Linked DNA regions of Diceros bicornis minor. The protein of the gene in region 1 interacts with the protein of each later gene in a biochemical or structural test. Links are inferred from orthologs where the notes say so. Each region holds a gene or a part of one and is shown in the gene's direction. Other genes may lie near its edges. The genes, in order: KLHL12, DRD4 and LNPK.

Evidence for each region.
Region 2: of the proteins of KLHL12 (region 1) and DRD4, one has a biochemical effect on the other in vitro, tested with the Homo sapiens proteins (2 studies listed by BioGRID, with this or other methods). The link is inferred for Diceros bicornis minor from reciprocal best matches to the Homo sapiens genes KLHL12 and DRD4.
Region 3: the proteins of KLHL12 (region 1) and LNPK form a complex in vitro, tested with the Homo sapiens proteins (2 studies listed by BioGRID, with this or other methods). The link is inferred for Diceros bicornis minor from reciprocal best matches to the Homo sapiens genes KLHL12 and LNPK.

What each region holds. Positions count from the first base shown.
Region 1 is NC_080777.1:30,938,707-30,942,452, reverse strand, and holds the start of KLHL12 (kelch-like protein 12), read left to right. Parts: upstream 1-1,320; 5' UTR 1,321-1,419; intron 1,420-1,489; exon of another isoform or gene 1,490-1,668; intron 1,669-3,103; 5' UTR 3,104-3,142; coding exon 3,143-3,337; intron 3,338-3,746. UniProt on the Homo sapiens protein: Substrate-specific adapter of a BCR (BTB-CUL3-RBX1) E3 ubiquitin ligase complex that acts as a negative regulator of Wnt signaling pathway and ER-Golgi transport.
Region 2 is NC_080770.1:1,341,666-1,345,411, reverse strand, and holds the start of DRD4 (D(4) dopamine receptor), read left to right. Parts: upstream 1-1,117; coding exon 1,118-1,387; intron 1,388-2,902; coding exon 2,903-3,015; intron 3,016-3,103; coding exon 3,104-3,746. UniProt on the Homo sapiens protein: Dopamine receptor responsible for neuronal signaling in the mesolimbic system of the brain, an area of the brain that regulates emotion and complex behavior.
Region 3 is NC_080749.1:56,663,944-56,667,689, reverse strand, and holds the start of LNPK (endoplasmic reticulum junction formation protein lunapark), read left to right. Parts: upstream 1-1,453; 5' UTR 1,454-1,662; intron 1,663-1,890; exon of another isoform or gene 1,891-1,999; intron 2,000-3,746. UniProt on the Homo sapiens protein: Endoplasmic reticulum (ER)-shaping membrane protein that plays a role in determining ER morphology. Involved in the stabilization of nascent three-way ER tubular junctions within the ER network.

The sequences.
Region 1 (3,746 bases):
AAATCTCCTTCCCACTGTCTCCCCACCAACCAGTTCCTCTCTCCGAAGAAACCAGTGTTAACACTTTATTTTGTATCTTTCCAAATGCATTTTATACATATACTAGCAAATACGAATATTTATATTTTGCCAACATTTTACACAAATAATGGCAAACTATACACACTGTTTACAACCTCACGGTATCGGATTGTACGGATGTACCATACTTTATTGATCCAGTCCCCTACTGATAGACATTAAGGTAGTTTTTAATCTAATCTACAAACGACCTTGCACACACATTATTTTATGAATGCACGAGTATATACGAAGGATAAAATTATAAAAATCGCTCAAAGGATATCTGCATTCATAATTTTGGTGAACTTTTCCAAAATGCCCCCAATAGAATTTGTACCAATCCTGCACTCCCACTCACCCTGTGTAAATCAGGGATAATGTTAGATCAGAGACAGATGATAGGAAATTTAGAAACACTAGGTAAAATTAGATTGCTATCCACTTGGCTATGGTTTTATTATCGCTAAAGAATCAAAGGCGTCACAGAGGAAAACAGTATAATCAAACACGATTAGTTTGTACGTTTACATCAGTTGAACCAAGGAACCTCATTCCCTTCCGAGCCTCTAAGAAAAGTGCGCCAAAATCGATTAGAAGCAAAAACGCTCAGCACCCATGAGCTAGCGAAAAGTCAGCAGAAGAGGAAGATGAGGACTACTGGGACTTCTAAGAAGACTCACAACGTCTAACCCCTGGTGACCACGAGTTCCTTCCACTTAATTGTCTGGGAGTGCAAGAGGCAGAGGACATGACCTCAGGAGTGACGACCGGCCCCTCGCGATGTGGAGAAGGCTGAGGTGAGCGGAGCGCAAGGCTCGGAGGATTCTCACCGCAGCGGTGGTCGCCTGAAAAGGGGCAACGCAGACACGGACTTGAAGCAATCTGAAGACCCGGGGGTTTTCTCGACGTGAGAAGGTTCCCGAACACCTGGCAGGTAGCACAGACTCCCTGCAGTGAACTCCTCAGCCTAGAAATCTGTGGGATCCTCTCAAGCGGCCTGCGTCGTGACCCCAAGAGTACCTCAGTCTCGGCCGCTCTCCAAGCGGGCGGGCCGCCCTCCGCCCACCTGCCGTTCGCTTCCTGTCCCGGGCTGGAAACCCGGGCCTGCGGGCACCGCGACGCCCCCCTCACGTGACGCAGAGGGAACGGAAGGGGCGGACCTCGTGCTGCGTACGTCATCAAGCTGCGCGGCCGCGGGGACCTGGTGACGGCTCCGGAGCCTGGGGCCGGGGTGGCGGTGGCGGCGGCGGCGGCGGCGGCGGCGGCGGCGCTTGGGCTCCACTTGGGCCCCCTGCTGGCCCCCAGCCTGTTCCCACGGACGAGGCGCGGCCGGCGCGGGGTGGGCCGGGAGCGGAGGTGAGTGCGCGGAGCCGGGGCCGCCGCCTCCTCCCGTCCCTCGACTCCAGCATGGGTGCTCCGCCCTCGGTCGGAACGGGAGAGATGCGCCCCGGGCCTCTGCCTGGGTGTCGGGGCGGAGACCGCCTTTCCCTCCCTCCTGCCTGGGGTTGAGCCTTCCCTGAGCTCGACACCGCTCCCCTCCCCGAGTCTCCTAGGGCGGAACCCTCGGATGTTCGCGCAAGTTCTAGAATAGATCGCCTCGGGAAGGTGAGGCGAGGCAGGAATCCCCGGGGAGGAGAGCCTGGAGGCTGCAAAGGCGGGTCATAGGCTGAGCCCTGCCATAATCCGCAGCAAGTCCTCACACTGCCTCAGTGTGCGTGTCTTAGACCTTCTTACCAGAGTTGAAACTAAGTAGGCTTAAGGAAAATCTTTTTGAAAAACGTCATCTGCTTTGATGAATCATCCTTTTCTGTAAAATGTATCTTGCACAGTTGTTGGAGGGATTACCTGGAGTGCTTGTAGGATAATATGCTAACTGTAAACAGGAGTAGATGAGAATTTAGGGTCTCGTTTTTACTATTCAAAAATTACCGTTGTGGGTTGTGGACTCTTGAAGAACGTCGTTTGATTTTTTTTTTCCCTTAGATCATTGAAGAAAGTTTGGATTCCAGATAAGATAGACTCTTAGTAACCACGGTATTTTACTCCCCAGAAATTGTGTTTGACGCAAAAAAAGAAAAAAATAGTGTGTCTAAAGCCTGTCAACAATCAAGAAAATACTTCTTAAATTGGTTTTTTGATACGTGATCTCTTACTGAGTTCATTTAGTTGATGCATACAAGTGAACTTTGCAAGTGACCAGCTATGGTAGTAAAATCAGTGGTGGAGTTTTGATAGGTTTCTATCCTAATGAGGCTCTCTGTTTCAGTATAGAAGAATTACTACAGCTGTTGATTTGTTAATGTTGATGGACATTTACTAATAAGATAGAGTAGGAAGACCCCCTCTATAGCAGAGCTTCAATAATGTGAGAGAAAGTCTGTGGATAAGCTTGCATGGTTTCCATTACTCAGTGTAGGTACCGGGTCTTCATTTGAAGTGTAATTTTAAGAAGAAATCCAGATATAGTTGGAAATCATCTTAAATAATTCCTTGCCTACTTCATTAGAAAAAAGTCCATTTTCAGTGACCCTTTATTGCTCGTAGTTGAATACACAATTTTTCTTTTGTTGCATTGAACTACTAGACATTCATTGTACACCTGCTAGCGTAGAAAAAATATGTAAAACGGGATCCCCATCCTCTACGTACGTACGTACTTAATCTTATGGATGGATGTTAAATAATACTGATATCACACTTTTAAGAAATTTTATCTTTTCATCATTTTATCATTTGAGACAACAGCCTTGTAAAGATGCAGGACATGTGAAGTTTCTGTTTGCAATACAGTTGAGTATTGATTATAATAAATGTCAAGTGGTAGGTGTGCTCAGTAATAGCAGAATTCAGAAGAAGAAGAGATCCTTTTTACTTGGGATAGTTAGTAGCTATATTGTGGCGGTAATGCCAGGAATAGCAGTGTTCTCTACTGGTGGGTGTTTGGGTCTGAGGAAGCCTCCTTAATTTGTAAAGCTAATTGAATATATTCAGTCTCCCCAGTCCTTCAGATATGCTCATTTTTTTTTTTTTGTACTTGTAGAATCCAAGGACACCTTTCATTCCTTCTCCATATTGCTTGATGGGAGGCACTATGGCCCCCAAAGACATAATGACAAATACTCATGCTAAATCCATCCTCAATTCAATGAACTCCCTCAGGAAGAGCAATACCCTCTGTGATGTGACATTGAGAGTAGAGCAGAAGGACTTCCCTGCCCATCGGATTGTGCTGGCTGCCTGTAGTGACTACTTCTGTGCCATGTTCACCAGTGAGGTAAGTGGTAAGTTATCCCCTCACAAATGACAGTCACACATGTAACCTTGTAATTGCCTCATTTTACTGAATAAAACGGTAGAAGTTTGATGTAGTAGTGAATTTCTATAGTATGGTGGTTAAATGGGCAGGCTCTGGATAAGATCTGCCACTTGGCCATGCCTTAGTTTCCTCATCTCTACGTGGGATAGTAGGAATGCACAATAACGTGGTTATTGTGACGGTTATTTGAGAACATTACATATAAAGTGCTTAGAACAGTGTCTAGAATGTGGTAAAACACAAATGTCAGCTATTGGATTTTAGTTACTGTTTTTAATTTTGTTTTCCTGTTTTGCTCCTTCTAACGTTTAATATTTTAAAGTGAATACCAGGGGGATAGAGAGGAGGGAAGGGAACAGAAGGGATT
Region 2 (3,746 bases), on another chromosome or scaffold:
GGCCCAGTGAGTTCACAGGTCTGGTGGGCGCAGGGCGAGAAGGTTCTCATTGTGGGCTTCTCTCTGAAGAGGGGGGTGACTCAGGTGACACCAGTGTCTGAAGGACGTGCAGAACCACAGCGGTTGCTAAGCTTCCTGAGCGCTCCTCCCAGCCCTTCCTGTGTTATCTCATTTAAGGCTCTGGGAGGTAAGCACCAATTTCCCGGGCTCAGAGGGGCACACAACCTGCTCAGGGTCACAGGCTCCAAGGTGATGGAGCTGGGATGGGGGTTGACCACTCCATTGCCCACCCTGGAGGATGGAGGGTCAGGCAGTGGCTGCGGGTGGAGCGACTAAGCGTCGTCCTGGGTACCGGAGGAGAGGCTGCTTTGCGGGATGGGGTGCAGGGCCCTGCACTGGAGTCTGAGTCATTGCGGGGGTCGCGCCAGGGCAAGGAGAGATTGGGCGGAGTGGGGTGCAGCAGGGAGGAAGGGTGCGCACGGAGCTTGTACCTCACGCACCGCCGATCATCAGGGGCCCAAGGGGAAGGCGCCCGAGCGCTCGGGGCCTGTGGGTGGAGCCTGGGCTCGGGTCTCCTCGCGTCTGGCGGAACCGCCCTGAGAAGGATGTTCTTCCGAAGCCTCGTGAACAGGCTGGAGTTAGAAGCGGCCCCGCCTCCGCCTCGAGGCGCCTCCGGGAGCGTCCCTGAGGGGACACCCAGCTTGGGCACATACAGGGACCCGGGGGTCTCTGGGGCCGGCGGGATGGCGCTGGCGTGGATGTCTGTGCGCCTCGGAGTATGATCCGGCCGACCTTCTATCCCCGTCGGTTTCTTGGGGCGGAGATCCGCGCGTCCCCGCCAACCCTGCGCGGCGCGGGGCTATCCTGGGCTCGCCTGTGCCAATCACCTCGCTTAACTCGCATCTCACCGGGCCGTTGCATTTGTCCACCTGCAAAAGTCCAAGATGGACAAATACAGGGTGCCTCTTGGAGCGTCCCGGGGCCCACCGAGGGCGGGGCGGATGAGGGCGGGGCTAAGGCCGGGCGGGGGCGTGCCCGAGGGCGGGGCTCCCGGTTCGCGCCCTGGTCACTGTCCGCGGTGCTGAGCGCCCGCCGGGGCGCAGGGGGCCGGTGCGCCATGGGGAACCGCAGCGCCGCGGACGCGGACGCGCTGCTGGCTGGGCGAGGGCCGGCGGCGGGCGGCGGCGCGGGGACCCCCGGGGCGGCGGCGGCGCTGGCGGGGGGCGTGCTGCTCATCGGCGCGGTGCTCGCGGGGAACTCGCTCGTGTGCGTGAGCGTGGCGGCCGAGCGCGCCCTGCAGACGCCCACCAACTACTTCATCGTGAGCCTGGCGGCCGCCGACCTCCTGCTCGCCCTGCTCGTGCTGCCTCTCTTCGTCTACTCCGAGGTGAGCCCGCGGCCACCGCCGCACGCGCGCCCCTCACCTGCTCCTTCGTCCCCTGTGCCGGTCCACGCCGAGGACCCAGCGCGGCTCGGCCACTTGGCTTCTCAGGAACCTCGAGCTGGGCGATTGGAGGGGCGCTGCGCCGGGTCCCAGGCGGACCGGAGCCTCCCTCCCCTCCGAACCCCACTCCCCTCCCCCAACTCGCTGTCCATCTCCCTGCTTTGCTGTCTGTCTGCACTCCCTCTTCTGTCCCTTTCTTCTCTTCTCCCTCTGTCTTGGCGTCTGCTACCCAAGAGATGCCTCTATCCTTCAAGCCAGACATCCCAGAAACAGGCGACTTTGGCAGTCCAGCCACCTCTCCATCCCCTCAGCTGGGTTCTGATCCCCAGGAGAGCCAGCTGGACAGACAGGCAGATGCAGCCTTAGCCCCCGGCTCCCCCTGGGCCACAGAGACACACATCACTGCACGAGGCCACCAGGAGCACGAACACACCAGCTCGCCCCACAGAAGGAGCCCTCACTCATGCACAGACTGGGCCCCCAGCTGGAAGGATGCTAGCTGCCAGGAGCTGCCAGGCAGTAGGCATGGCTAGAGGGAGGGGACAACCTGGGGCGAGGAGCCTCCACCCCCAGACCAGGTCTGACCCTTGGGTGGGTCCCCCTTTGTGCCAGGCCCATCTGCTCCACAGTCTGGGCAGAGGGAAGCTGCTTAGGGCTGGGTTGGGGACACAGTGTCCTGGGCTGGGGGGAGGGGAGACTTGGTTTTTCTAAGGTGGACACTGAGTCCAGGCAGGGCTGGGGCAGAGGCTAGCAGGGCAAGGACATGCATGACCTGCCGCTCCCGGAGCTGCAGACAGACGTCACAGTGACGGCTCTTAAGCTCCTAATCGTCCCAAATCAGCGGGAGGGGATTTAGAAGGGGGGGCGGCTGTCTGCTCCTTTGCCCTTGGTGGGAGCGCTGGGCACAGTGCCGAGGCCTTTATATTTTTTAACTCATTTATCCTCAGGACAATTATGTGAGTACTGTCATCACCCTCATTTTACAGATGAGGGGACAGAAGTGAAGTGACTCAACCAAAGTCCCAGAGCAGTGGCAGAGTTTAACAACACAGGCTGGTTCCTAGCCATGGAAACAGGAGTGGTGGGCTTCATGCTCCAGGGTAGCAGGGCCCCCCTGCCCAGGTGGGGCCCCTGGGGCCCTGAGCCCATCATCAGATATCATAATCCTCAGGCCTGTCTCAGTTCTAACAGAAAGGAGACCTGGGGGTGTGTCTCTTGGCGCCTGTTCTGGGGAGGACTGCCGAGGCCCGTGGGTCGGGGCAGAGCCTGGGCAGCTGCCCCTGGTTCACCCCGGCTCCCTCCCCCTCTGATATTCAGCCTCTGCTCCCCAAAATAGTGGGGGTCAGAAAGACGGAGCGACCAGTGGCTGTGAGGGCTGCTGGCCTGGCCGTGGCTGGGGGAACGTCAGCGGGTCTTGTGTCTGTTGTTGCTGTGGCGTCCCCTCTCCTGGCGGCCCAGGTGCAGGGCGGCGTGTGGCTGCTGAGCCCCGGCCTCTGCGACGCGCTCATGGCCATGGACGTGATGCTGTGTACGGCCTCCATCTTCAACTTGTGCGCCATCAGCGTGGACAGGTGGGCCGCCCGCTGCCCCGCCTCGTGCCCCTGCGCGCGCGCTGCGCCCCCTCCCCTGTCCCCGCTCCGCTCACCGCGCTCCCCGCAGGTTCGTGGCCGTGGCCGTGCCCCTGAGCTACAACCGCCAGAGCCGGGGCGGCCGTCAGCTGGTGCTCATCGGCGCCACGTGGCTGCTGTCGGCTGCGGTGGCGGCGCCCGTGCTGTGCGGCCTCAACGACGCGCACGGCCGCGACCCCGCCGTGTGCCGCCTGGAGGACCGCGACTACGTGGTCTACTCGTCCGTGTGCTCCTTCTTCCTGCCCTGCCCGCTCATGCTGCTGCTCTACTGGGCCACCTTCCGCGGGCTGCGGCGCTGGGAGGCCGCCCGCCGCGCCAAGCTGCGCGGCCGCGCGCCCCACCGGACCAGCGGCCCCGGCCCGCCCCCCGACGCCACCCCGCCCCCCGGGCCGCCCTCCAACGCCATCCCGCCCTCCGACACCATCCCGCCTCCCTGCCAGCTGGCCCCCGATGCCACCGCGTCCTCCGACGCCACCGCGCCCCCCGGCCCGAAGACTCTGGACACCGCTGAGCCCCCCACTCTGTCGGCCCCCGACGCCATCCCGTCCCCGGGCCCACCGCCCCCTGATGCCACCGCACCCCCCAGCCCACAGACTCTGGACGCCACTGCGCCCCCCGGCTCGCTGCCCCCCGACGCCATCCTGTCCCCCGGCCCACAACCCCCAGGTGCAACC
Region 3 (3,746 bases), on another chromosome or scaffold:
TTAACACAGGGTCTTGTCCTCAATAAATATTTGGAATGACCCCTGTGGCCTGTAGTCCAGCCTCATAGTACATATGTTGATTTCTTCGCTCGTTATGTCTTCCCTCACTGTGCCAGACAAACTCTTACCACTTGATGTAAAGGAGGTAGTGGTATAGTGTTACCTTCCACAAAACACATACTCTTTCTGCCTTCAGTTTCTTCTTTTGAAAAATGATACTTATCTTAAAAGGTTGTTGGGAGGATTAAAAGAGTCAATGATTCACCACTTCTCTCCCTCCCCTTGCCAGGCCAAATCTCTCCCCTTCTAGAGCAATTACCCAGGGAATTTTCTCTCAGGATTAGGTTTTTGGAATCTCTTGCACTTAGCTAGCTCTTCTCTGTGTCCCGGTTCCTGTTTTTTTCCCCCATACAATAGACCTTCACGGCTTAATTAAAACTAGAGAACAAGTCATTAGCAAGTGGAATATACTTCTTCCCTGTTCTCTTAGGAGAAGAGATCTTCCTGAGGTGAAGAGATGTATTTGCATAACTGCACAGGCCTTTTTTTTTTTTTAACTTTGAAATAGCAAAAGATGAAAAACAAAATGGTTAAATTTCCATATCAAAATAGGTGAAATCTCTCTTTTCATTTTCTTCTAGATTTATAAGGTGCCTGACCCAGAGTACACAAGAAATAATAAACTTTGGTTCCCTTTTCTTCATCCTTTCAAGTTTACAAAGCTGTAACTAAAGATATTAGCTGTTAGGACAAGCAACTCCACAGTGAATTATCTAGTAGCTTCCAGTATAGTAAATTGTTCTAACCAACTAGATACTACTCAGTTTCTTTTCTTACTTTATCTGTTTGCATTGTCAAAGTTTAAAAGCAGCATATTAAAAGGATTATACTCTTTAAAAATCATGCAAACTTTTTATTATTTAAAATGTGTATGTAACTAAAAAAAATTTTTAAATTCCATAAAAAATGTTTGCACACAAGGCTAAAACACGTCACAGGGGTAAAACATGACAAAAGCTTTTGCTGAAATTTCTCTTCCTTTCTCCAAGTTACCTCGTGGGGTTCAAGAATCATTTGTTATTTAGACTTGTCAGTCCCAGGTGTCTAGAAAACGATCTTTAGCCAATATTTCGAATCTGAGGCAAACATAGTCTGAGTGGTTTATTCGTGGGCCCACGTATCAGGACCTGTGAAGCGGGTGTTTTTGAGGTGAGAGTTTTAAGATAGAAAACAGCTTATGTTGTTATCCACGGTTTGAAATCAACATCAACTTCAAACATTTAAAGTTTACCACACGCCGGCGAGGTAAGCGTCCAGGCATCCAATGACCCTTTTTGACGTCACGAGTGATAAAAGCCTCAAGCACTCCTGGCTGGAGTCTACCCTGAATTTTCTCCACTGGCTTGTTTGGGAACTGGGTCTCTTCTAAGCTATGTCGTATTAACTTGCTCTGCTGCCGGCTGGATGACAGCTGCTCGGGGACTCTTCAGGACGGACTCCTTTCCAGACGCACCCACCTTCACCCTCAACCCCACTCTGCTCTCGCGGCAGTCTAGGACCACCAGGACCAATTTTGGGGTTTTCTTTCTCCAGCGAGACTTGGTACTGCAGGCTTGACAAGAAAAGAAGGAGGGAGAGGAAGAGTAAGAAGTAACTGCATTGGTAAGAGTCATAATAAACGGCAGTACATCTCCAAGACGCGGCGACCAGCACCGTATTTGGCTGCGGAGGCCATACGGACAGGCGCCCCCGGGCCGACCTCCCCACTCCCCCGCCCCAACTGCGCGCCCGAGTCACAGTCACGTGACGGGGGAGCGGCGCGCGCCGGCCGCGGCGCGGATTGGCCGGCGGCGGGAGCGCGGGGTTTGATGGGAAGGAGTTGGCCCGGCCCAGAGCTCTGTCAGTGGCGGCGGCTGCCTGCTCCGGAGGCAGGCTGCGCGGTGGCCGCCCAAGCTGGCTGGGGTGGACGCCAGCGCCGGGCTTTGCCCGCTTCTTGAAGGTAGAGCGCTCACAAGGAGGGCAGTTGGGAGGGCTCGGCAGAGGGGAGGTGCGCTGAGCTTTGCCGTGGGAGATACGCTCCCGGTTCCCCCCGCTTGCCTCTCCCGGGCGCCCCGCCCCATGCCGAGTGGCCTAGGAGCTCCGCGGCGCCGGCTGGTCAGACCCCTGCCCGGCTGCGCGTTGCGCCAGTGTCGCCGCCTGGTCCCCTTGATTATCCTGCACCGTGGCAGGGGTGGCTCTGGAGTGCTGGAGACTCCTTTCTGCCCCCGCCCCGCCACGGGGAGGTGGTTCTCCAGCTCGGTTCACGAAGATGCCGGGGGGGGGGGGGGGGGCGGGGGGTGTGTGACTGGATGGATCTGAGCATCGGCTCTTTGGCCCGCCTATGCCTAGGCGAAGGGTCAGAAGGTCCTATGCTAAGCTATCGCTTTGAGTGTTCTACCCGTCTCTTCTTTCTCTGAGTTTGTGCGGAGGCGCCATGAGTTGGAAAGATCTGGAGGGACCGAAAACTGTCAGTGTCATGCTGCTCGGCCCAGGCGTGTGGGCGTGGATTCTGTGCTGCTTTACAGAAGCCTCTCGACAACCGTGGTCCTTGTTTGAGGGACGGTGGGCGGCCTAAGGGGGATGGGGGGAGAGGGAATGGTGAGGGCATAGGTGGCATAAACATGGCAGGAGAAGAGCAAATCTAAACTACATCAATAGTTTTAATTCTTTAATATTGTGTATGGGGATTGAGAGAGAGTTGAGATTGGTGGACTAGTTTTGCTGATGGTGCCCTCACTGTACTAAGTAAAACCCATGACTCACTGAGTTTTGCATGTTCCCGTTTTCCCAGTTGGCTTCTGCTCTGTGGTCCCTTAGTGTCAACTGTGTTTTCTCCTTTCTCTATGGCTTGGGTGTCACCGTTGACAAAATTGACTGTATTCAACGGCGGTTTTTGTGGATGTGAGTAAGCTTGGTTTCAGGCATATGTTCACACTGGCAGGGAATGCTAATCTCTTGTCCTCAGCAGTCCCCATAGATCCATTTTAGGAGAAGCAAGTTGATTTTGAACACATTTTTTTAAAACAAGAGTGGTGCATTTAAAATTAGAATTTTAAGTTTCTCTGTCATCTACTGAGATCAACCCAATGCTATTAATAAACTTATATAGTGTTTCTATGTTATTAACTTGAAAGAGAATATAAGAAAAGGAAGAAGTTATGTAGCTATCAAACAGGTATGGTTTCATATCGAAATCTTTCTAATCAAATAGTCATTTTTTTGGAAGTATTTAGTTCAGAATGAGCATAGACTCACCATGAAGACCAGAACTTAACCATCATATAATAGAAGTGCTTTTAGAGGTGCTTCTTTATTGCTTTTTTTCAATAATTTTATTTTTGAGTAGTATGTGGTGGTTTGGGATATTTCAGAATTGCCTTTTCATTTGGGATATTTGAAAGTTAGAGTTCTACAACAGATCACTTTTAATCTTAAATTGAATGAGACAATATGTTGGAGAGGTACTGTTGATAGTGACTGAATAGTTTCTAGTTAAGTTTGGAACTTGAGAAACGTAAAACTGAACTTCCTTTACTGTTAAAGGCCTACAAGATTATTTTAATGGAAGAATCTGCAAAGTATTTTGCTTTATTTTTTATACTAGGGAAAATGAGAGCAATACAATTTCAGTTAAATACAAACTAATTTTATTTTCCAATTTTAAAATTATGAAACAGGTCCTTTCTTCATAAGAAATTAGAAAGAAA